Styela clava: one gene and its partners. The protein of the gene in region 1 purifies or fractionates together with the protein of each later gene. This does not show direct contact. Links are inferred from orthologs where the notes say so. Each region holds a gene or a part of one and is shown on either strand. Other genes may lie near its edges. The genes, in order: mini-chromosome maintenance complex-binding protein-like, DNA helicase MCM8-like and kelch-like ECH-associated protein 1.

Region 1 (3,759 bases):
CAGTAGGCCTAATGAACAAAACAACCAACAAAAGCTTATATTACAGGTACCGGTATACTATTTGTCACATTTAAATGACTGCACAGACGGATAGATAAGCTATAACAATTACAAAATTATGAGTTAAACATGCTTGAAAATTAAACAAGTTTTCATATAAGACTACAACACTGCCATAACTCACCACTGATATATTTTCTTCATTACTCAAACGTGATTCAAAATATTTTGCAACTTCTGAGATCCAATCATCTTTACTGCGATTTTCTATAGATTTAAAACATCAGTAAACATTTGAGCGGCAAATATAACAGTGTTATGTAGATATTACAGTATTATTACTGTATTAGGGTATGTTATTCTTCAGATCTTGTTTGGTCTGTTGCTACCGTGTTTACCCGAAAATGGTACCTAGCCTGAATTTTCAATATGATATTAATATAAGCCCTCCCCTTAAAATAAGACCTAGTCGATAGCAAGAAATTTGTAATACATGTTTTGAATGAAATTTATTACGGTACCCTGGTACCGGTACGGCGGTACCCTGGTACCGGTACGGCGGTAGCCAGTTATTTGTTTTCAGACGCATGCCAGCATGGACTTGATAGTGGAGAAAGCCCTAACCAACCAGCGGTTACATGGACCAACCCTAAAAATTTCACATCACATTTCTGTTTGGCATTAATGAAGCAGTTTCAGCGGTAAATGCAAGTCACAATTTTGTTTGGTGCCATTTTATATAGTTACCGGTACCGTACGGCGTGTACCTACTTCGCTCAGTCGCTAGACCCAGTTACCAGGTTACGGTATCGTACCGTAAAAGCGCCTAACTTCGGACAAAATTACTATATTTTCGTCAATAACTCGGCCATTTATTGTCCAAACGGTGCCAAAATTGCTCGGTAAAACATTCGTGCGGTAATTTAGATTCCCTGCAAATTTCGGTTCAATTGGACTATTTTCACTATTGAAATAATCTATTTTTCTTGCCATCTGACCGTTATCATTCACTGCCCTAACTTCGGACAGTCATTTTCTTCACTGCGTAACCGCGACGCTCAGAGAGAGAGGCTTCCGATGCGGATGACGTAATCACGTCGTTGCGTGAAGATAAGACGCTCGATCGTCGTCGTAACGTAACATTAACGTCACGACGAAAATGCATTATTTGAAACTTCCGTCGTCCTATGTTTACATCTTTCGTTCGTTACGTCAGATAAGTATTACAACACGTTAGTCATTTTAATCAGGAAATACATACGTAAATATATCTGATGCAAACCGTTTCAATCCACAATGAAATATTTTAACGGGCTTCTATCGAAGTCTTTGAAGTATTAATATTCTCGACGGATAGCTTGGTTTATTCTGCGCGGTAATCTTTATAAGTGATAATTTATATCAAACACACGGTGAATCCGATTGTAAAGTTTAATTTAAAGTTCAACCTAATTTCGTTAACATATAAGTCCCGTTTATTTGTTGATTTTTAACTTCGAGTGAATAAAATTCACCCAGGCCGTATTCAAATAACTGTCATTTCGACTACTAATCATAAAATAATTGTTAAGTCAGTACACTGTGCCATACGGACGTTTGATTTTTTACAGTTTTATATATTCGATTTTTAACGTCATCGATTAAGTGTGACATGTATTTTTATTAATGTAATTTTGGCATATATTCACACATGGACCGAACAAAATACAAAAATATTACATTGGAATGCCGTCTTTATCTTAACGAAAATTGTCATATTGGCGCCGTTGTGTCTGGCGTCAAAATTCATTTCCGCGACGCAGTGTGACGTCGTGTCGGAAGTGAGCGAAAAATAATCTACGTGAGGTTGACGTAACTGTTGACGCTGCGTGAAATCTTAATATTCTTACGGAATTTATAATTCAGAATTTTAGGTTTTATTTAAATCTCGTACGACATCTTGCGATCACTCAAATAAATTATATACATTGTTATCGCCCTCTACCGAATGATGGTATTTTGACGATGATAGCTTTAGTAGGAGCGACGCTCTGCGCCGTTGAATGCCGGGCAGTCAATTTTCGGCAAAATTGCCGTTTTTGTACCAAAAAAATTATAATGCCACATTAAAAAGATGAGAATAGATGTAGATATAACAGCGCTACCTATAATATTTGAAATTAGCAATATATGCCCCGTTTTAGCCAAGATATGGCCGTTCAAAAATTTTGTCCGAAGTTAGGAACTGTCCGAAGTTAGGCGCTTTTACGGTACTCACCGAAAATATTTTGAACAATGCTTAACGGTTTCTTCTGCCAGTTCTCTATGCAAGGCATGATGTCGCAGGCTTCTTTAAGTTTACGGGTATGTCTTCGGCAAACACAGAATTAAGGGGAAGTCAGTAGGCTATTTCTGTACTCTGAGCGATGAACAATAATAACACGTGCCAAGTGGATGCATATCAACAACCAAACGGATTATAAAAAAATATATACAGGGAACCTTTTACCGCGCGAAATATCAATGTTGCCATTTCCTTGAGTAATATTCATGTTCCGTTAGGATTCATATAATGAATTTATTATTATATTTGTTGTATTTTTATGCAGGCTCATTTGTAATTTCATTAGAAAAAAGTTATACCTGATAGTTTTATTTAATCTCAAAAAAAAAATTGGAATGTGTGCGATAATTCAATAGTAACTATAGAACCTGGCAACAATAATCACATACATATGCCATTAAACATTCTACTCGCAGATTCATCTTTCATTTTCCTGGTCGTCTCGCGATGATAAAATCAATGCAACAGCTAACTTGTCCAACAATAATGGTATCCACATCGATTTAATTTGCAAAGACTGATGAATCATCCATGTTAAATTTGAACTCATCCTAGTAGTCGACAACCTCTATTATAATTTCGGGTCCAAAATTAATGTGAAAAGATGGGACCGCTGCACCTGTTGCAATTGTGGTCGTTCGTGGAAATTCGATATTGATGTTGGAAGCATTGGAACGGATACGATGATTTTAAATTGAACTTATCGAGAACGACAAAAGGACCCGATATCCCAATCCATGATTTGTGCATAGACTGCTATGGAACATTCAATCTATTTACCGAGCTTGTTTTTTAGTAACACTTTTTGTCACTGTGTTATTTCTGCAATGAAATTGAACTAGGCGCTCAGCATCACCATTTCACGTCAGCGAGTGTTTTTTATTCCATAGTTTTGTAGGAAAAGCACTGTTGTGTTACAAATACACGTCTCACATCCGTTTGTTGTTGTTTTGTTTCTATCAGAGTGACCAAATAAAATTAACTGATTGATGAATATGAAAACCTTGCTTCAACCTTTGATAACCTGTATATTCCCATAACTCATTCTCCTACCTCAGTACCACACTGCCCTATTTTATTTTATTTTTTAATTATAATTACATACACTGATTCACGATATGGGAAGAAATAAACTTGACTATGACTATATTTGATATAATATGGACTTGGTGAATTTGGCTTTGGTGAGTAAAGTGTAGCCCACCTCTTCATGCATCCAACTTAGCAATTTGGCTTTAGAAGACTCCAACTATAATCAGCTTGACGATATCTTTTCAGAATTTTTTTTCTACAATTTCACTCCTGTCAACTAAATCGGTATCCAGTTCGGCAATCCTTACAAAATTATTAATATATACGGTATATGGTAAGGCAAAAATTTTTTTTATTAATACATGTTTTTGTATATATATTTCTCTTTTTACCAAGTAATATAT
Region 2 (3,759 bases), on another chromosome or scaffold:
CTACATGATGTCAGAATTGAACCCAAAATCTGAGCTATCTTGATCAATTTTTTGGAATTTGGAGCCTGAGGTATGATTTTTTAATTCCTATTAGACTCTTATCAGACATAAAATCCATACCTTGATTTCTATAGCGATGCCCATTTAATATCATTTGAATAGTATTCAAATGACCGTGTGGTGTGATACAACAATCTAAAAACTACATTTTTTTTTCTGAAAATACTACCTGATTACAGGAATATCATCAACAGAAGTAGGTTTATTATCCTCTCCATCTTGTTCTATTCCAAGTTTTTGACATGCTTGTACAGCGGTTTGATGAGCCGCTAATCCTAATGAAACAAGAATATTTATTAAACTAAAACAGATTAAGAGGGAACAATGAATAGCATCGAAAAAAGATAAAATATCGAATTGTCATCAGATCACTAATGGTTTAGCAAAATTCTTGATAAAGATAAATGACTATTATATAGTAATTCAATTTTGAAAGTTACTTGAAAGTCAATTGATTGAGAATCTTAACAAAGATTGTCATTATGAATATATTTTGATATTATTATTACCAAACCATTCATTTTGGAATAAATTTGGTATAACCAGAAATCCATCTAGCGCCCCGATCAACTATGGCCACCAAACTTACCGAGACAATTCAGCAAGTGATCAGGATTATTGAATAGTTTATCAGCAAACTCAGGTAATGATGTTTTGATGACATTGTGTGATGTTATCTCCTTAAAATCGATTGTGATACTTTCGCTGTTCAATATTGTTTCTTGATCACATTTATCAAAATAATCTTTCATGTATAATTCTAGAACCTGTTAATTTAATTAAAATAAATAAATATTATGAACAATTGATGAAATTTGAATTTTTTATTCTGAACAAATAAATATCCAAAATGAAAACACAACCAATAACGTTGAAAAGATAAGAGAGATGGTTTCACTGAACTCAAAATTGTAAAAATAAAAAAGCTGCTGAGGATTTATTTTTTCTCTTCATTTACTCTTCATTTGTGAATACGGTACTATCACTAATATTCTTTACCTTTTTTAGTACCTATGCTCAAATTATAAACAATTGAAACTTTACAAAAGCCATAGTGCGAGTTCAGATTATCACTAACTGATAATACATTGGAGATTAAACAACAAATATGGAGTTTTTATGAATGAAAAGTGACATAATGATAGAGCAATGAGCATTCAAAAGTCTTTGAGGGGGGGAATGAAAAGAGCCAAATAGATTCAAATGGATAAGATGAAGTCTACTAATAGTGCAAAGATATGCTCTTTAATGAAGATCTTGAAATTATACCTTTACTATAGAAGCTGTAGCAGATCCTAGATTGTATTCTTCTACTGGAAAATAGTTTTTCCAGGCTCGATACGGACAAAAACTTCCTCGGACCAAGTCTGGACGGACATTCACTCTTGGCTGAGTCAGCTCAACTATTTGAGGCTCTCGAGGGCCACGGAAGCTAAAAATAACAGAAATCATCGAATAATAATGCATAGAGAACAAATTGGACAAAAAATAGACAGTAGCTTAATATTTATAGGTTCACATACTAGAGATCCTGAAATCTCTGATAACAAGGCAATTCCATGTTAAAAAAAAACTTAATGTAAACAAATAAACGAGGTTGCATTGACTTTCTTCACTTCGATACTGAAGAAACATGTTGATTGTGATATTGTTATGACTAGAGTGAGGATATAACTATATTAGTGTCACACGTTAAATATCCCATACTTGACCCCATGCCCCAACCCATTTCCCAGTTATATACTAAATTTAGTAGGCAATACTAAAATATTTTCAATCGTTGCAAACGAGTAGGTATCTTGCCCAGAGCCATGCTTAGAGTGAAACCTCATAATGAACAAAATTTAATGATATTTATTCATCACCATGCTGCCATGTGTAAATATAACATTGCCAAATTTCCAAAAATATCGCTAATCACGGGTGGTGAACTCACAGAAAACCTCAGAACCCCGAGCGGTTATCTCTGTATCTAACGTTAGCTGCAAAACTGTGATACATGATGTATTGCTGCTATTACTGCAGTACTGTATTAAAAGACTGAAGCAGTGAAGGGTGAAAATTAGGCTATGTGGAGAATAAAAAAATGCATATTTTGCTTATTATTATAATACAAAAAATAGAATTAATATGCCTCCTATGGAATATCATGAACACTGGTACTGCGAAATGAACAATGTAGCAGACATTGAACACAAGCAGACAACTTTCAGACTTTCCCTACTGCTCCATGCATTTAAAAAAAAAATTAAAGTTTGAAAGCAACTAAAGATACAGGTATATCTGTATACTGGTACCGGTACGGTATATAGAAAAAAACGAATCAGCTTGGCCAGATATCAGGATATTACCGGTATTACAAACTCTCATGTCCCTTTTCTTCTGTTGTTACGGTAGGTATGTCTTACCGAAAAAAGCTGTTTCCGCTTTTCTTTTTCTTCCTATTCTGCTTTTGGGGCGGAGTCGTCATTTTTCAATTTCTTTTTTTAATTCCTCGGTATTTCTGTAGATCAGATTACACGCAAAATAACCGGTCACAACAACATAATTACATGCAAATGCAGAAAGTGGAAAAGTGGGGATTTCCAAACTTCCCACCAAAAGCTGACTTGCTGTAGCGAAAATATAATTGCGATTACAAAAATGGAGCAATAGTTTCTTAATTATGCTTCAAAATTTATATGTATACCTACTGCATTATTTCGATGATTCATAGATGATCTCCAATTCAAAAAACAATGAAAATATAATCACTACAGTGTAATTCACGCACCAGTGCAGGCGATGACGCGTAACTACTCTTTGCATTGTAATTTACTTTGGCTACTTCTATTTTTTTACCTGTGGTACTTGGGTGGAATGAGTTCAGAGGGCAATTTTGCCTGTTTCTCATTCTGGACATTCATACATTGCTTGGTAGTGTTGTGTGTCTGATTCAAGATATTAATTTAAAGTTATAACTTGGGTTATTATTACTGAATTAGGGAATGTTGAAATTGGATTGTTATTAAAAACTGAATGAAGATCAGCTCCCATACGGTAACTGAATAAAAACCAAACTGTGCAAAAACAGTCGAAATACTGAAATAATACGTAATTACTAAGTGACCAACAGCCTGACAGCTACCGGTATGTCTTCCAAATCGCCAAGCAAAGTTCCATTTTGGAAGAGATCTTCACCGAAAATGCCTGGAGGGTTAGTACTTTTTCATTCCTGTATAGACAACTGAACAAAGGTTTGAGATGATAGCAGTATAGTAACAATATGCAATCTGCTTGTATTTGAGTTTAATTGTAGGATTGTCCTGACAAGTGACCTACCTGTTTGTGTACACAGCTCTGCAGGTTTCAGAATTTAAGCTTTATATTTCACTTGATATTATGTATCATTGGCCTTGTGTATATTTCAAAATAATTATCTGTCTATTAGAAATTGTAAGCAATAACTTTATACATTGTAGGTCAATCAAATCCTCAACACAAAACATATCACCAGTTCCGAGGCATAAATTGTCTTTCAAAGAATTTGAGCATCATACAGAAGATGCATGGGACGCTAGTGAAGATGATCTTCTCAGAGATGCTGTTTCAAAAATTAACATTCATCCAGAACATGCAAAGGTAGTATTGAACGCACGCTGTTGTTCTATAATTCAAACTTGAAAAAAAAAAAGTTGAACTTGTTAAAGGCGAAATGTT
Region 3 (3,759 bases), on another chromosome or scaffold:
GATGGTAGTTATATAGATTTTAAAGGAAAGACAGCCAGGTCCTTAATTGCGCACATAGAAATTATGGACCTCCTGAAGTATGCGCACCAAGATGGCGCACAACCTGAACTCAGGTTGTGTACCAGGTTAGGGTTCAGGTTATGCGACATCTTGGTGCGCATACTTCAGAAGTACCGAAATTATGGATACAAATACAAAAACACACCAAGGGTAAAAGATGGTATGTGTTTCTGATTACAGTTTTCAGTTTGAAATTCTGGTTATTCCAAAAGTCAAATCAGGTCTACCACAAAACTCAGAATATAACAATAAACAAAATGGTGCAACCGCAAAAATTGGATTGCCCAGAGAGACGGAAGTAGAAGAATACCACAAAAAACTTCAAGCCTTAAGAAATACTAGGAATTAATTAAATGACACTTACTGACAGCATATTTTCAAAACATGGGTCATTTGAAGCATGTTTGCACCTTGCATTATATACAATACGCATTTTTCACTAATTGATATTCTTGAGGTATATGCAAAATCAAGCAACTTGGTGAATATTTCTGGGTGAATTTCGCTCATATTCACTTCTGGTTGATTTCGTTCCCGGCAACCACCTGAAAAAACCAGTCAAAAAATCATACTGGAAACCTATTACTTCATCGATGACGTCACAATGGCGTCTAGAAATAGAAACTGAATTTCCTTGTCGATCCTGGCGATGACGATAGCTTGCGAATGATATTGCACTAAGGAAGGTGTTGAAAAACATTAGCCCGTGTTGATTAAAATATATTAAAACATCGGCATAACCGAAATGAATGTTTGAGAAACCGTACCTATATATGGGGAGTAACTAAATTATTATCTATTTTATATTATATCATTATTACGTTACCGTAATCTTTTAATGTATAAAATTATACATGAAAATATCATTTACCAGTGAACATGGCTTTAAAATATGGCGAGCACGCTGCTAACACTAGTTTGTGTGCGTGAAATTTCTGCTTTTTCCCATCGTATTCAAGTTTTATTGTTACGTCACAAAGAAGTCCATTCAACCGCAACTCGTGCATGATGGCCAGAGAATCGTTTGGATATTCCTTCTGTTCGTATTTTTCCAACCTAGGAGTCACGGAAAATATATAAAAATATAATTATGTGGTGAATTTTCGCAAGCAAAGTATTTTGAGGAGTGATATGAGTTTTAGGAATCGAGCAAAACGAAAAGGGATAAGCGAACTCCTCGGCAGCGAGCAAAAAAATTAAAAGTTTCAATGTTAACCATATCGTACACATAAAATTGTCGTACTTTCCACGCCCGGATTACGTAAAGATAATACTTCGATTAACGAAAAAGTTGGAAATTTTTATTCAAATTCGGTCAAATTATCGTGTGTTACAAAGTAATATATGTGATTCTATCACAGATTTTAAAGTCATAACCAGGCGATTTCTCCAAGAAGAAATGCATGAATTTTTTGTGCCACTTTTCTTTCTTTTAGCTACGAACACTGTTAGCACAGTAATGCCTACTTGCACTATTATGGATTAAATGATAGGTCATTTGAAACGGCAAGTCAAAGCCAAATTAATAACATCGCGACAGGACTGGCATTTTGTCTGATATTTTTACTACAAGATTAATTAGCATTTTTTTAATAACAAATTGACTCGGTCATATACTGAATGAAAATCGTTTTACAATTTGACAATTTAGGCATCAGCTTTGTTTCATTGTGACATCATGAGCATTAATTTCTAGAGACCATAAAAGTATTATTGGACATCGGGACAAGCAATTTTTCGTTTGTAAAATTAGCAGCATCGGCAAGTGAAACTGCATGCAAGCTTTTATCGATCAAACGTAAATAGCACCTACGTAACCGATATCCGGAAATAGTACAAAACTAGATTGATGATTAATCAGTATAATTTCACCTTAACGACACCAATCGCACGTATCCCAGGCTCGGAAGGCGTTTGATTGAAAAACAGCTATTTCGTGTATTTTTAGTAAATCACCATATTCGTCAGTAAAGTGGGAAGTGGGTACCGCCAGATGTTACCGCAGTTACCAGAAGCAGCAGAAAAGAACAGAACACAATGCAAAGACTGATAAATTTGTTGCCCAACGGGGCAAACAGGTCAAAAAACGTATGTGATATCAAAGCTACTTGAATACAGCGGTGATTCGCTATGAAAAACGATATATATAACTTATATATATACTGTAAATGGTCCGATCGCAATCGGCTGTGTTTAATTACTGACCAGCAAACCTTTTTATCGAGTTTACCCGATAAGATGAACTCATACTCTGAATCAACATACCTGTCTCCGTCCATCGTCGGAATTACTTGCCCAGGACATTTTCCTGATACTTCACACGAAGATGAATTCTTCTTTCGAGGCATTGTATTGTAGGTTTGATTGAAGCCAGTGGTAGAATGGTACTGCGCTTTTGGGTTTAAGCAGTACTTTACTATCTAGTAGTACGATATACAGATATTGCTTCGGTATAATTCCAGTACGTTTGTTAAAGTTGATATATAACATTTCATCGCAGAATTCCATACATACATAGCCATTCCGCCTGTTTAGTTATGCATCATTTCCATTTATTTATATATCTACGAATATGGTACAACCGAAATGTTACAATGTTACAGAATAATAAACCCTGCATACAGGGTACGGACTCAGTACAGCAGTATGACATGCTCTTATAAACCTGAAGGCTAACACAGCTAATGTCATATAAACCTGATCTAAAACTACAACACAATATAACTATAATATGATGAACAGCTGAGATATCGTGCGGTCTAATTTGTAGGTAACCAAAACCTCAAAAAAGCTACGGAAATTACATAAAGCAGTCACTATGCCGCCCTCGGCGTTTGGTCTGAAAAATATGGCGATAACTTGTACAGGGAACCATAGAAAATGAGAGAAATCAACAACGAAGAAATAAAAGCAGACTGCTGAGTCACGCACGTGCAATGATAATTTACGGTTCATCGAACTCTCTTTTTTAAACAAGAACAAACTGACAACCGGACAAAGAGCACGACGCGGAGACAAGCCCAACTGTTTGATTGGCTGAAGCGCGCAACCTCAGGTCGTTTGCCTGCCTCAAAAGGTATATATTTAGCCTGTCTTTTGTTTGTGTTCATACGTATTGTCCATGGCTTATCTCGTTTGATATTTTTATCTGAATCAGTCCGTGGAAACACTTAGTGTATATTTACCAGGATTTTTAGTAACCCTGTCGAATACTTGTTTTCGCTGTAGGAAATGTCCGGAATGTTGTGGAAGCATGATTCAGCGCTCGGGCTGTTCCCGAGTACCATAACTGGAATAAAATAATTACAACATGCCATAAAAATATGTGACCGATAATATTTTAATTAGGCGTACTTTCGAAAGATATAACTACAAAACATCAAAATATAATTATTGACTATATTGTATATTTATTTTTGTTCGCAAGATACTCACTTTTGCGTGAGTATAAGGCAGCTTTCTCCAAACCACCTAACATTTTAAGAAATACCACAATAATAAAATTGGTCTCTGGATCCTGATTGGTCAAAGCGGCCAACGCCCACAACGAAAGACAATCGGTACCGCTATCGATATCTCAAAAATTGTGCCACAAAACTCTTGTTCTTACGCAACAAAGTTCCCCATTTTTTTTATTCTTCAGTCGTCAAGTGGTAGATAGACGTACCTACTCTCTACAATTGAGGGCGTAGACTTATT

Evidence for each region.
Region 2: the proteins of mini-chromosome maintenance complex-binding protein-like (region 1) and DNA helicase MCM8-like purify together in Homo sapiens (co-immunoprecipitation; 3 studies listed by BioGRID and IntAct, with this or other methods). This does not show direct contact. The link is inferred for Styela clava from reciprocal best matches to the Homo sapiens genes MCMBP and MCM8.
Region 3: the proteins of mini-chromosome maintenance complex-binding protein-like (region 1) and kelch-like ECH-associated protein 1 purify together in Homo sapiens (affinity purification with mass spectrometry; 3 studies listed by BioGRID and IntAct, with this or other methods). This does not show direct contact. The link is inferred for Styela clava from reciprocal best matches to the Homo sapiens genes MCMBP and KEAP1.

The regions. Positions count from the first base shown.
Region 1 is NC_135258.1:12,528,340-12,532,098, forward strand, and holds the start of mini-chromosome maintenance complex-binding protein-like, read right to left. Parts: upstream 2,439-3,759; 5' UTR 2,316-2,438; coding exon 2,258-2,315; intron 268-2,257; coding exon 185-267; intron 1-184. UniProt on the Homo sapiens protein: Associated component of the MCM complex that acts as a regulator of DNA replication.
Region 2 is NC_135257.1:6,810,929-6,814,687, reverse strand, and holds the start of DNA helicase MCM8-like, read right to left. Parts: upstream 2,687-3,759; 5' UTR 2,531-2,686; coding exon 2,469-2,530; intron 1,493-2,468; coding exon 1,330-1,492; intron 828-1,329; coding exon 650-827; intron 336-649; coding exon 230-335; intron 1-229. Other genes in the region: TBC1 domain family member 22B-like, read left to right, coding at 3,192-3,256, 3,522-3,681. UniProt on the Homo sapiens protein: Component of the MCM8-MCM9 complex, a complex involved in the repair of double-stranded DNA breaks (DBSs) and DNA interstrand cross-links (ICLs) by homologous recombination (HR).
Region 3 is NC_135250.1:6,652,206-6,655,964, reverse strand, and holds the start of kelch-like ECH-associated protein 1, read right to left. Parts: upstream 2,641-3,759; 5' UTR 2,409-2,640; coding exon 2,326-2,408; intron 1,117-2,325; coding exon 932-1,116; intron 606-931; coding exon 425-605; intron 1-424. UniProt on the Homo sapiens protein: Substrate-specific adapter of a BCR (BTB-CUL3-RBX1) E3 ubiquitin ligase complex that regulates the response to oxidative stress by targeting NFE2L2/NRF2 for ubiquitination.